Rattus norvegicus: one gene and its partners. The protein of the gene in region 3 binds, or shares a complex with, the protein of the main gene of each other region. Links are inferred from orthologs where the notes say so. Each region holds a gene or a part of one and is shown on either strand. Other genes may lie near its edges. The genes, in order: Wnk3, Wnk4 and Klhl3.

What was found.
Region 1: the proteins of Klhl3 (region 3) and Wnk3 are in contact, whole or in part, in a crystal structure (PDB 5NKP), measured with the Homo sapiens proteins. The link is inferred for Rattus norvegicus from reciprocal best matches to the Homo sapiens genes KLHL3 and WNK3. Residues at the interface, in NP_059111.2 of Homo sapiens: Lys312, Arg339, Phe355, Gly357, Arg360, Thr386, Phe402, Gly404, Ser405, Gly407, Ser432, Ser433, Tyr449, Gly451, Arg454, Cys456, Ser481, His498, Arg528, Tyr577; in NP_065973.2 of Homo sapiens: Glu537, Cys538, Glu539, Glu540, Thr541, Glu542, Val543, Asp544, Gln545, His546.
Region 2: the proteins of Klhl3 (region 3) and Wnk4 are in contact, whole or in part, in a crystal structure (PDB 4CH9), measured with the Homo sapiens proteins. The link is inferred for Rattus norvegicus from reciprocal best matches to the Homo sapiens genes KLHL3 and WNK4. Residues at the interface, in NP_059111.2 of Homo sapiens: Arg339, Phe355, Gly357, Ser358, Leu359, Arg360, Thr386, Phe402, Gly404, Gly407, Ser432, Tyr449, Gly451, Ser481, His498, Arg528, Tyr577; in NP_115763.2 of Homo sapiens: Glu557, Pro558, Glu559, Glu560, Pro561, Glu562, Ala563, Asp564, Gln565.

Annotation. Positions count from the first base shown.
Region 1 is NC_086039.1:23,734,998-23,739,315, forward strand, and holds part of Wnk3 (serine/threonine-protein kinase WNK3), read left to right. Parts: intron 1-1,877; coding exon 1,878-2,207; 3' UTR 2,208-4,318.
Region 2 is NC_086028.1:86,705,229-86,709,546, reverse strand, and holds part of Wnk4 (serine/threonine-protein kinase WNK4), read right to left. Parts: intron 3,471-4,318; coding exon 3,250-3,470; intron 2,955-3,249; coding exon 2,797-2,954; intron 2,245-2,796; coding exon 2,156-2,244; intron 2,077-2,155; coding exon 1,860-2,076; intron 1-1,859. UniProt on the Homo sapiens protein: Serine/threonine-protein kinase component of the WNK4-SPAK/OSR1 kinase cascade, which acts as a key regulator of ion transport in the distal nephron and blood pressure.
Region 3 is NC_086035.1:6,526,522-6,531,516, reverse strand, and holds the start of Klhl3 (kelch-like protein 3), read right to left. Parts: upstream 3,031-4,995; 5' UTR 2,954-3,030; coding exon of another isoform or gene 2,912-2,953; coding exon 2,898-2,911; intron 1-2,897. UniProt on the Homo sapiens protein: Substrate-specific adapter of a BCR (BTB-CUL3-RBX1) E3 ubiquitin ligase complex that acts as a regulator of ion transport in the distal nephron.

The DNA of each region.
Region 1 (4,318 bases), on a different chromosome or scaffold from region 3:
TTGTGCATATGAGCAGTATGGTAGTGTAGGGGACAATTGGCTGTTTGGGCAATTGAATCAGATATGTTGGAATATTTAAGAGTAGACTTATAACCTCTCTGAATCAGTCTTTAAAAAGCATACTATTGTTTTTAAAACAATAATACTCATTACACAACTTAACTAATGAAAAAAAGTACAAATTTTAAGATACCACTTTCAAATCCTACCACCCCAAAATGGTAACTGTTAGATCATTGTCTATGAGTATACATAGGTGCATAGAAATAACTTTATTCAACTGTGATCACACTATATTGCCATTTTGAATCAGAAGCATTAAATTTAATTTCACCTTTGAAGATAGAAAATACTGAAAAGAGATAGCTCAACTTTAAATAATATATTTTGTAACTGAACATATATTGCCATTCATTTTCATGTAAAACTTAAAAAAACACTTTAATCCTAACTTACATTGAGAGTTTCTAACAAAATTATAATTGAAAGTTTAGTTTTAGCTTGAACTAAGGATTTGAGGCTAAAATAATTATTTACATCCATTGGAATCATAATTCCTATGTGCATTACAAATATAATCTCTATACACATGTTTAATTGCAATATTAAACAGGAATATATCTTTTCAGTACTGCCTAAAACACAATTGTCTTGTGATTTTGAGTTTATTTTAGAAGAACGGAGGGCTGAAAAGGCAGCCTAATCAGTACTTTCCATGCCAAGTGTGAGGACTTGAGTTCAGGCCTTAGAACCCATATGAAAAAGCTGGGTGTGTGTGTGTGTGTTACATGCATAACTACCAGCACGGGCAGGAAGAGACAAGTGAATTCTTGAAGATTGCTAACTAACCAGCCTTGCCTATTTAGTGAGCTTCAGGCCAGTGACAGACTCTGCCTCACAAAACAACTTTGATAGCACCTGAGGAATGACCCCCAAAGTAGACTGCTTGCATCCATATACACATGAGTTCACAAGAATAAAAGTAAATGTGTAAGAATATGACAGAAGGGGGTTGGGGATTTAGCTCAGTGGTAGAGCGCTTGCCTAGGAAGCGCAAGGCCCTGGGTTCGGTCCCCAGCTCCGAAAAAAAGAACCAAAAAAAAAAAAAAGAATATGACAGAAGAGCTAGAGAGATTGATGATTCAGGTATTAAAAGCATTGGCTGCTCTTTCCGAAGGCTTGGATTTGATTCCCTGCACAGCCCACATGGTGACTTAATTCTGTCTCCAGTCCCAGATGATTCAGTGCCCTCTTCTGTTCTCCATGGGTTATACATACATACACACATACACACAGGCAAAATGTCCATACAAGCAAAATAAAATAAAAAGAATATAACAGAAGTGTCAAGTTTTAAGATAGTGTAAAGGGAGCAGAGGAGATGTTTATCGAGCATCTACTCTATGTTAGGTCTCCTTGTTACACTAATTATGTTCCTCTGTCTGGAGAATTGTGCAAGATGGTCTATTTCCATCTATGCATACAGTCTAAATGAACATTCATGGCTGGCAGAATGAAGGAAAAGCAAAATAATAGTGTTAGCATGAGTAAATTAGAGACTAAAGTGTGAACAGGGAGTTAATATGGGCCTTGGAGTTATCAGGAGAGGGCTGAAATCCATGTCTGATTTGCTTGGTGACATTGGGTTACTTACTAATTTTAGTTTCTGTTTTCTTATCTGAATAATGGCTATACTGGAAGGCAAGGCAGTTAGGAAGATGAGCTGAAGTAAAGAGTGTTACTCATGCAGACCTCACAGAAAGGTGCTCTACTCAATTTAACAGAAGAAGGAGTGAGGCAAAAAGAATAGGATTGGAGACTGAGAGAAGAATGTGCCAAATGAACTGATATTTTGTTTTTATGTTTGTTTTCATTAGAGCACTCCATCTACTGTGGGATACACATCAACCTGGATTTCTTCTCTCTCCCAAATTCGCGGAGCTGCCCCGTCTTCCTTGCCACATGGACTCCCACTCCCTTCATTTCCTGGGCCATTAGCGTCCTATGGAATGCCTCATGCTTGTCAGTACAATCCCGTAGGCGCCGCAAGCTATCCAGTACAGTGGGTTGGGATTTCGGGAGCAGCACAGCAATCCGTAGTGCTTCCTACCCAATCTGGGGGACTCTTCCAGCCTGGGATGAATCTGCAGTCATTTCCAGCTCCACCAGTGCAGAACCCACCTTCAATCCCTCCTGGTCCCAAATGAGTCCAAGTCAGTGCTGAAGGAAGGGGAGAGAACTTTCAGAACACCTGTGATGCTATACTTTCTTCTTGAGTTCTGCCATATTTTTTCTCATTCATCTCTACTTTAAACTGTGTTTTTTGTTGTTCTAATGTGATATTTGATACAGCTCATCATTCGGTAGTAATGTGCAATTTGCACAAAGAATACTGCACACAGAAATGTTTTTTCACTTCAAATCCTATCCTCTTTGATACTTGATTTTTAAAAAATCCTGTTCCAAATGCTCTACTAGCTCAGCTTAAGTGTTACCATTTCCAAGACACCTCTCCTGTGTGCGGACATGCACTCACCTGCCCGCCCTCTTTTTTATCTGCTACCAGCAGTTGTATGATACTTCTCTTTAACATGTGTTAAAAAAAAAAGTATGTGGATTGGTTCTCCCCAAAATGTGGATGACGTAAGACCCTCCAATAGCCAGTCTTGTGGGATTCGTCATGTCTGTCTTAGGTTTACTTTTCACAGAAGGCAGTAACTGGCTGCAGGATCTGTTTTGGTGTATAAATGTAGTAGACTTTTGTCAAGCAGTACAAAATCTGAGTGTTTTTAAAATGTGATTTTCTCCCCGTCATCACAGCAGGAGGAGTGAGGGCTTGTTTGGAGTGAGGCGGAGGGAAAGGCAAAAGCAGAACTGTAACAGTTCCTTGAACCTACAGCTACCAGAGCTGCTTCTGGGTTTCAGTCATAACCCAAAGCAGCCACCTTTTCTCATGTGCACACCGCTTTGGTTTGGAGCATCCGCGAGGCACTGGTTTGGCTTGCATTCTTTCGCTAGGCATTGCAGCTGATGTGAATCTCATTTGGGGGGGTAATCCTTGTAATCCTAACCAAGGAGATTCAGGTTAACACTTCTGTTAATCCATTCTTCTAAAGCGAAATGTACTTGACACACTAGGGTTTGTAGCTTTTGAGACTTTTGCATAAAACACTGGCTTTACAGGGTTCTAAGAGATGTAGGATACACTGTCCTGCAGTGAACTAGTACACCCTAGGATGATATTATTTAAATTGCCTTTAACCTTTTTTGATGACAATGTTTGGGTTGTTATCATTTCTTACTAGTGTCTATAGACTTAGAACATTTTAGATCTTAGATGCGTTTGTCAGCCTCTTGAGAATTTGAGAGACTTCACTGTCAAGTTGCACTTTACTGGGTTTTATCCAGTTTTAGGAGGAGGGAGGCAGTGTCAAAATGTACACCTGTGGTTTTCAGGAAGCTTAACTGTAGTAAATCTTACGTGCTAGTCACAGGGTCACCTAATTTTCAGTCTGTGAAACCCAAATAGAATTTTTACTTGGTATATATCTATATATCAGCTCCTCTGTATACATGTTCAAAGACTTATCATTCACTGAAGCTTTGAAAGTCCTTTCAAATACATGTTTTCCTATTTAGGAATTCTCTTGGTAACCATTCCAACTTGTCTTCGTTTCTCTTAACAGATTTTCTTCCATATTCCTCTAAAACCTTACCCCCATGGGCTTGCCGGGAAGTGAGGAAACTTAATGGGTGTGCTTTATTTTTTCATACAATTTCATACTTTGTGACATTCAGTGCCCCTTTTAAAAGTTGTCTTATGTTGCTTACCTAAAGACCACACCCATCATCACATTTTTGTCTCTGTTCCTGGGGACATTCTGTGGATTGCTATTGATTTAAGAGCCACGGTTTCTTTTCCTAAGACATCATGTTTTGGCTGAGTCCAGATCATATGCACGGATTCCTCAAATTCCTTCCATGGTATTGCTTTGCATTTGAAGTGATTTTTCGGCTACTCATGTAGTTCAAGCTAGTCAGTTGCTTGCATTGTAGTGCTTTCCACATGTACAAAACGATGCTCCTAAACCTCCTGGTTCTTTAAAACTGTCTGTTTCATTACCAGTCGGTTTTGTGTAACTATATTGGGCTAGATAACCTATAAGGTGGAATACTACAGGTTTAAAGACTGGCTCTCCTCGAGTTGCAATCCTTTTAAACAGTGTGCCCATGGTGAAAAATAATTCTACAGATGACATGTACAACTTCATTTACAATCTCATGGCTGCTCTACATAGTATGTCCTGTGTTTTTTACA
Region 2 (4,318 bases), on a different chromosome or scaffold from region 3:
ACACACAACATAAACAAGATGTCACTCTTAAAGGACTGAATCTTGAGTTGAGCTGGGCAGTGCTCTGGAGATTGCTTTTGTGCCAAAGGGTCTCACTGTGTATGCCTGGATGGCCTGGAGCTCACTGGCTGGATTCATAAGTGATTCATTTACCTCTGCTTCCTGGGATTTAAAAAAAAAAAAAAAAAAGTGCCCCAGGGCTGGAGAGATGGCTCAGTGGTATTAAGAACACTGACTGGGGGGTTGGGGATTTAGCTCAGTGGTAGAGCGCTTGCCTAGGAAGCGCAAGGCCCTGGATTCGGTCCCCAGCTCCGAAAAAAAGAACCAAAAAAAAAAAAAAAAAAAAAACACTGACTGGGCAGAGTTTGTGATTCGGACGAAGAAGATTGAAGTCATGGCTGGTCCAGAAAGTGATGGCCAATTCCAGTTCACTGGTATTAAAAAATATTTCAACTCTTATACCCTCACAGGTAGAATGAATTGTGTCCTGGCCACATATGGAGGCATTGCTTTGTTGGTCCTATACTTTAAGTTAAGGCCTAAAAAAACCCCAGCTGTGAAAGCAACATAAATGGATTTTGAAATGTCTGGCCTCATCTGTTAAGTCCCATGCCTGAAGAAGCTGATGTGAACTCATCATGTAATACTCAATTTGTACAATAAATTATGAACCTGAAAAAAAAAAAAAAAAAAGGAACACTGACTGTTCTTCCAGAGGTCCTGAGTTCAATTCCCAGCAACCACATGGTGGCTCACAACCATCTGTAATGGGATCCAATGCCCTCTTCTAGTGTGTCTGAAGACAGCTATGGTGTACTTATATACATAAAATAAATAAGTAAATCTTTTTTTTAAAAAAAGAGCCCCACTAAGCCAGCATGGTCTCAGCTTCTTGACTCATCACAGATGACCCTTGACCTTGAAACTGCCATTTCTCTATTGAGAATCCCATATTCTCACCCTCTGCCCATTCAGGTTCTCCTCACAAGCTTTCAAGGTTGTGCTCTGGCATCTTCTATCTCCACAGTACTTTCTCTTCCACGGATCTCTGCTCCTCACCTCCCCCTCTCCTATTCAAATCAATTTAGCCGTGGGCTTTGCCGGGTGAGTAAAAGAAATGTGGTAGGGCCAACTGATTTCAAATCTGAACAGCTTGAGATTACATCCCTCTTTGTCATTTGTTTTCTTGGGACTCTAGACAAGACAGTCACTCTCTCTAAGCATGCATTCCATAGCCCTCCAAAGAAGGTCACGTGAAAAATGCTTTCTTTTTTAAGCCACATATAATGTTAAGAAGCATCTGCTAATTGCCAAACAGTAAAGGACCGAGGGGAAAAAAAAATCAATAAAATACTGTCTGGCCACAGATAGTTTCTAGTCTAGCAGAGGAGTGAGATGGGAAATGTATTCAGGTATAAAACAAAGCCCAAGGTTTGAGGTGGTTTCGAGCCCCCCCCCCCCGCCCGCCCCCAGATTTGAAAAGAAGCATTCAGCGTTTACACAGGAGGAGTGAGCGTCCTGGAACGGATGGTGCTAAGCATAGAGACAAAGAAGGGGGAGAGGGAAAAATAAATAGATAAGTTGCCAAGAAGGGCATTCCCGTGATAAATGAAAAAATGAATCTGCGTGCAAAGAAGTGACGTTAGGGTTTCCCGGATTTGTTCTGGGGGAGAACCCTGGCGTGCGCTGGTGGATTAGGGCAGAAGAGGCGGAGAGACCCCTGTTGGAGCTGCAGCTCTGAGTAGGAGCCTCCGCTCGCTACTCTAGCGCTGCACCTTGACCCCTCCTGTTGACTGATGGCAGGCTGGCTGAACCCTTTACACACTCCACCCAAGTAGGATTATCTATACTCTCCTCACCATCTCCTGAGCCACCTCTTCCGCTGCATCCCGACCGAGCTGGAACAGGAACTCGATGGCCTGGTTGTCCCTTGGGCGCCCCCCGCGTCGTGCGTCCTCCATGCGCAGCCAGAGTTTGAGACCCGGCTTCTCTCCATCATCTTCCTCTGCCAGCTCCACATGCACACCACGTTCCTCGCGGAAGAACGCGTGGGTCAGAAGATCCTGGATAGTGAACCTGGGGACCGTGGGGGCAGTGAGCGGAGCCCGCTGCCACTGCCCGGTCATCTTCATCCCGTCTCTGTCCCGGACCCCACCTCTCATTCTTATCCGTGCGGATGCAGCCTTCAATGATCTCCTTCACCTCTGGCATCTTCACTTTGTAGAAGCTGTTGGGCTTTGTGCCCTGAGAGAAGGGATCTCATGAGCCCCCCCCCGCCCCCGTTGCCCACGCCCGCCTCGCTCAGCAAGTCTGCAGTGCAGGCAGGCGCCCAGGCTCAGGTTGGGGGAAGATACTGGTACGGAAAGACTTGATTTCAGATCCCATTCCCCCACCTATGTTGGTGTGACCTTGCCTGAGGGTAGAAAGTTTGCCTGGCTCTTCTAGTAGGGCAACTAGAAAGATCTACTGAGACTGGATGTGAAGTTGTCTGTAAGCATACACATCTTCTTACCAGCTTGTGTGAAGGGTTTATGTACATACAATATATGTCTGTTTCTCCAGGGCATCTTTTTGTCTGGCCTGGCTTTATTAAGGATAAATGTTTGTGTGTGTGTGTGTGTGTGTGTGTGTGTTACATATACACACACATATATAATTTGATACATGTATAATATATACCCTTCACATATGTTAATATAATGTATGCTAATGTTATGTATTAGCAGGCTAGTTAGAGGGTAGAAGAATGGGAGGGCCACTGGGGATCCCTTCTTCCCCAAACCCCACCCTTCTCACCGAAGTGACCTTTCGGTAGATTTGTGCTGCGTTCTGACACTCAGAGTAGGGATACTCAGACGTAGCCATCTCCAGCATGCACATGCCAAAGGCGTACACATCCACAGCCTCGTCGTACTTTTCCTCATACATCTCAGGGGCCATGAATTCCGGGGTCCCTATTGGACCCACAGAAAGGATCAGGCTTCTTTCTCCTGGTCTCCTCCCTCCACTTAGGTATATCGCACAGGGGGGGGGGGGGTTGGGGGTAGCTTTAATAGCCCAAGAGCAACCCCAGGAGTTCTGGAGTGCTGGTGACCAACTCTTGCCCAAAGCCTGTGCTGGGGGCAGGAAAAATGGGTCGCCCTAGTACGCTATCTCTCCAAAGCCCTGATGGAGTGGAGTGAGGGGTCCCGTGCTCTTTTCTGATGCAAAGGAGCTAACAATGGCCAGGGTCCTGCTGGAGAGACACACCAATGACGCTCTTGGCAAAGGAGGCGCGCTTGAGCGTGGCCAGTCCGAGATCTCCGATTTTGACAGAGCCTGAAGGGCCGGTAATGAAGACATTGTCACATTTGAGATCTCGGTGCAGGATGGGGGGCACTCGGGAATGTAAGAAATGAAGTCCCCGTAGGATCTGGCGACTCCAGCGCTGAAGGACTCGGGGCTTCATTTCTCGGAATCTCCTCAGGTACCTGGGAGAGGGTGTATAACCGTGGTCAGGGCGGGGATATCTATTCCAGGCTGGAAAATTCCTTATCCCACCCTTGCCAACACCTCCGCTGTCCCCAGCCAGCATTATTTTAATTTAGACTGGTCTGGGTGGGAAAGAAACTGAGTCAATGAGTGAGGTAAACAGGTTACAAAAAAAGTTCTGATGGTAACTTCGAAGATAGGGCCCGTGCCCCGGAGCACCGGAAGGGATGACTAACAGTCCAAGGGTTGGGAAGGAATAACTTTTGTCTTGAAAAAATATAAATTCAAGGGTGAAAATGGGGAGGGATGGAGATTTCCCAGGCTGGAGAGCCACAGGAGTGACAGTTCAGAATGGGAGGGATCACAGAATTGGGGTTGTTTGTAACTTCAGCTCAAGAAGAGAGTGTCTGAGGGAGTGAATGCACTTTACCCCCAGGGGAGTGGGAAATCCTGAAGGGGTTTAAAAGAGCAAGTCAAAGGGTCAGGCTTCCCCTGGGTTGCAGGAAGATAGGATAACTTGAAGGGAGGGCAGATTGGGAAAGGCTCTTTAGGAGGGCTTCTGGGAGTTGGGAGGGGTCAGTGGTATAGCAGCAAGGTAGAGGAAAAGATGGGGGGGTGCAGTGGGAGGATGTTAAACAAAGACTTAAGTGACCCCACTGTTGAGAAAGAAGGTACATTGCAGTAAAGATACCTAAAGTTTTGACTGGTATGCTTGGTGTACACTGGCATTCACACAGTCTAGTAAGTGGGAGAGAGCCTGGTTTCAAGTGTGGAAGTTTGAAGTGACTGGGAGAAGTTCCCAGAGCCTTGGAGTGACGGGTGACATTCCACCCCTCCCCTCCCACCC
Region 3 (4,995 bases):
GGTCTACATCTCTCACCTCTTTAGTTAGAGCTGCTCACGAAAGTCACCAGCTAAGGCTGAGATCCAGAGAACAAGAGAGAACGGGGTGTCTGTGTCACAGCCTCTCCTCCCAGAGCTCAGGCATCTCCATGGAGAGAGTGTGAGGGGTGGAAGAGCAGAGCTGGTGGAAGGGTTCAAGGAAACCATTTTCCCAGATGAGAAGGCAGCTGCACACATGAGCTCATGGCAATCGTGACGGCATGCACGAGATCGATGTGAGCCCAAGACAGACAAAAATCCCAACGGGGGAGCCAGAGGAACCACAAAGTCCACCCCCAACTGGAGAGATACTAGCATCTGATAGGTGGCAGGAGACAGGGGGTTTGATAGCTGGTATACTGTCCACACTCCAGGGCAGGCCTCACACCAATAGTAACTGGGTAACACAAACTGGGGGAAGAGAGAGAGAGAGAGAGAGAGAGAGAGAGAGAGAGAGAGAGAGAGAGAGCTGGATGGGTTAAGAAGGTAGGAATGGGTCTGGGAGTACCTGAGGAAGGGAAAATGAATATGACCAAAATACACTGTAAGGAACTCTCAAAGAAGTAACACTGGCTTACGTTACTAGTTAACTGAACAATTACTACCCAGCACCTGCTGTTGGCAGAGCCATGGAGTAGTCAGTGAGGAATACTGAAAAGTATATGCCACCATCCTTCTATGAGGACATATCTCTAAGTTTGAGGACCTGTAAGTCACACAAAACGGAAACACTAAAAGACCTGCTGGGCCTAGCATTCAGGTCTAAAACACAGACAAGAGGTTTAGCCAGGTGGGGTGGCACGGGCCTTTGATCCCTGCACTCTGGAGGCAGAGGTAGGCAGATCCGTGAGTTCCAGGCCAACTTGATCTACAGAATGAGTCCCAGGGCAGCCAGGGCTACATGGAGAGACCCTACCTCAGCATCTCCACCCAGTCCTCCAAAAAAGAAGTTTTTAATGTAAGAATATCAATGCGGAGTTTTTAAAGAGCTGCGTTTTTCCCCCAAAACCAAAACGGGAAGAAATGAGCGGAAAGAACTCCAAGATCGGAGGATTTGCGGTGGGAGAGAAGGCGTGCGAGTGTGACGGCAGAGTAACTCTTGGTGGGTGGAGCGGCGCGCGTTGGGACAAGAGACAGGAGACAAATGGGGGGCGTCTTGTTTGGTTGGTTTGTAAGCTGTCCCTAGAACAGGGACCAAAAAGTAAGGACCTGGGAGGCCTGGTGAATGTCGGAAATTCTCACCTCTACTAGAAGCAAATGTGTACTCAGAAGCCACAGACATGAGCTCCCCTCACAGACCGGTGAGGAGCTCTTCAGAAGAGGAACGATGGACTGTGGATGTGACCGCTGCCCCCCGAAAGCTGAGATGGCAGCAGCCTCGGGCCAGCCTCTCAGCCTAGATATGCTGAGGGTCACGCGAGCGGACACGGTCCAGAACCTTACACTCCTTTCCTCACTCCTTCCCACTGCCATCTATCAGGCCATTGGGAGAGGGCAAGGACACTGTCCACCTCTGCCCCAAGGCCTCAGGATGCCCTGTTGTTCAGGGGGCTCCTGTTGGAAGAGAGCCTAGAAAGAGACTGCAAGAATTATAGTCTAAAAAGTCCTAGCACAATGGGTCACGACCCTTTGCAGGGGTCAAACGACCCTCTCACAGGGGTCACCTAAGACGATCAGAAAACACAGATGCCTAACAGTAGCAAAATTGTAGCTATGACGTAATGAAAATAATTCGATGGTTGAGGGGTGGGGGCGTCACCACAATATGAGGAACTGTATTAAACGGTCTCATCGTTAGGAAGGTTGAGAACCACCGTCCTAGACTCTTCCTGTGACTGGGACTATCACGAAGTACTGGTCTCTAAGGCTTTTTCAGACTGGAGAGTGAAATGAGCCACACCTGTTCTCACAGGGGCCCCGACTCGGGACAAGCTGTGCACATTTGTCAAAGTACTCTCCAACTGCAATGGCACGGGTTTAGTGGAGCCTGTTCCGATGTAACCAGCAACTCGCAACTCAGAGGAACAGCCGAACTGGCCTCTCCCTGTGATCCTCTCTCCTCCAGTAAAACAGTAAAGCCGTGGTAAAGCCGTGGTAAAGCCCGTCCCCAGCGCCAACCCGAGGATGAGGAGGTGGTAGCACAGAGAGACTTCTGCTCTGTAGTCTGCCAAACTTGGCCCTGCACTGAGCGCCTTCACAATGGGAAGATCAGCTCCTCAGATAAATGAAAACTGTCTGTGCTCCTGCTTGCCAGGAGACAAACCCTGGCCGGCTACTCCTGCTCGACTGAAATGCCTTCAGTTGGTTCCTATTTCGTGATGGGAGAAACAAGGGTGCCTGTAAGACACAGACCTTGCAGCATCTCTCAAACTTTTTGACACAGACGAAACCGGTTGTGAGCAAATGCCGTCTGACCGTGTTCTTCCTTTACCCACACCAGCACAGAAGCCAGTGTCCAGGAGCACACACGTAACAGACCCGGCATGGTTCTTGAAGAGTCAACCACTTAGGTGTGAACCAGGCAAGTTCCCTCTCAGAGGCCAGCCCTGCAATACCATTAAATCCCCACCACCACAGACAGACACTTTGGGGAACAAGACGGGACTATTCCCAACACAGGCCAGGAAGTTCCTTCTTTCCGTGTGCTCCACTGCCCAGCAAACCCAGACTTTCCTTGGTAGGAGCCGGGTCTCTGGAGCATTGAGCCCTGGAAGAGGTTTACCAAAGAGACTTGTCTGTCCCCACTCTGCTTTGGGATTCTGCAGTTGCCAGGATCCGCAAGCCTGCTTAGCTGATGCAAACAAATGTCGGTGGTTACACCTTAAGCTCGTGTTTGCTTACACATGCATACTGCACTCAACACACTTACACATACGTACCTTTCGCCCTCCATTGTGGGAGGCCCGGCAGGGTTAGTAGCCACCAAACTGTGCATGCACCCGGGAACTGGCGCTGCTCTCTGGGTTCTCCCAGCAGCCCCGTGAGGGACCCTGATCAGCGACCGTGATTCGGCATGGCTGCAACTGAGAGCTCCTTCCCTCCCAATCCTCCTTCCTCTGACTTACTCGCGGCAGGCTTCTACCGCAGAAGCGACGGTGCTAGAAAATGTCTTACCCAGAGCTCCCTGCAACCCTTTCAGCTGCTAAAAGCAGCAACCCACTCGCTTCCCCTCCCCCGCAGACTGGCTTCTCCTCTGTCTCCTAGGAACAGCCAAAGCCTCGGCGGCGGCGGCAACCCAAGGGCTGTGCCACCTTTCCAGCTGCTTCCACATCTGCTCAGGCATCCCCAGCCTCAGCGACTAGCCCACCCCACAGTCTCCGGCCTCCTCTGCTGCACTACAACGGATCAGCCGGATCCTCACTACCGGAGAAAAGCTGACCCCTCCTTCTCTCCTCCTCCTAGGCTGTGAGTCTGTGGGCCTGGCCAGATTGCTGGAATGAGGAGGCCCCTCTGTGGCCTGCCATGGAGTTTACCCACCTGGGGAAATTCACTCGTGAGTAACACCAGCGCTGCCTGATTTCCCCCTCCCCGAGCCCACGGTAGTTCTGAGATGTGACATTAAGACAAGTGGGCTGGGGTGGGTGGGTGTCACAGAACTGAAATGAGTAAGGAGAATTAGACATGGGGGCCGGAGCCAGATGCGTTCTGTGCAGAGGGGGCGGGGAGGTGCATCGGAAACAAACCCCCAGTATTACAAAATGCCAAAGACCACGGCAGTGATCACCACAAGAACACTGCCTGGCTGTCGCCCTGGGCCACACTGAAAGACCACCGCAACAGAATCGCTTTCTAAAGCCTGCCATGCTGAACCTTAGACAGGCTGAGCCCCCCTCTCCAGCTAACCTGTAACCTCTAGATGTTGGCCCTACCTGGAGTGGCTCCTCTAACCCCGATCCTTGAGACTTTAAGAAAGGGCAGTAAGTCTTCTAAAGCCCTCCCCAAATCAGACCCGTGACAACAGGTGCCCCCCCAACATAAACTTCAAAGGGTCTTACCCTTACTGTTCATCTCCCCCTAACTAAATGTCCTGAGGAGTGTGCTTTGTGCATGCCTTGTTTCTTAGGCTAAAAAAACAATCTCGTGGAAAGCAGGAAGCTAAGTGTGTATCCTCTAGAACCAGGGCTTGGAGATAATTGGGTCAGTTAGTGGTGAAAACTGACTCAGAAGCTTCCCTGACAGTACAGAAAAAGCCAGACATGAGCGCCCATGCCTGCTCTAGGACTCCTCACCCGTCAGCACACCCCGCATCTTTGGACGGGCATCTTTGGAGGCCCAGAGCAGCACTGACTGAGTGGCCTTCCGCTGGGTGTCCTATGACCTCATGCTCAGTCCTTCATTCGCAAGACACTCCCTAGAGTCTCAACTCCAATAATTGTGAGCTCTACACAAGCTGAAAGGGTCCCCCTTTTCTTCTCGGTGCTCCCCAATCATCTGCTTAGCGGTGCTGCTTTCCTGGGTGCTCATGTAAGTGGGAACTTTAGGAGGGTGCAGATGACGCCTGTGTAAGTAGGAAAAGACGCTCGCTCCGTGCTACTCGTTCAGCGTGGGCCTGCTAAGTTTCTTCAGCGCTGCGCAGAGCCCAAGTCGTCAAGCAAAGGAACGCAGGTATCGAAGCTACGGGCGCTAATAACTTGGACTTGACGTAACGTTCTAGGCTCAAACCAGCTGAGGTGTGAGTCTCCCCAGACACACCAGTGTCCTCTCAGCTGGACCACGACCCAGAGTCGTTCTCCCTCGGGCTGCGAAGAGCACAAGAGTCACTGCTCACACCCAGCAGCCCTGGGTCTCCGCTTGTTCGCAAACCAAACCCCTCCTGTCTTTTTCTCCCACCACTTACTTCCCTTCCTCCTCTAATCAGCTTCGTGGTTCTGTTCCAGATATTTCCTCTGGACAGCAGTCACAGGGACCACAGGAGGGCTGAGCATCACAAATAAGGAAGTGGAATCCCAGAATCCGTGCCAGAGTGCAGGCGGGTCA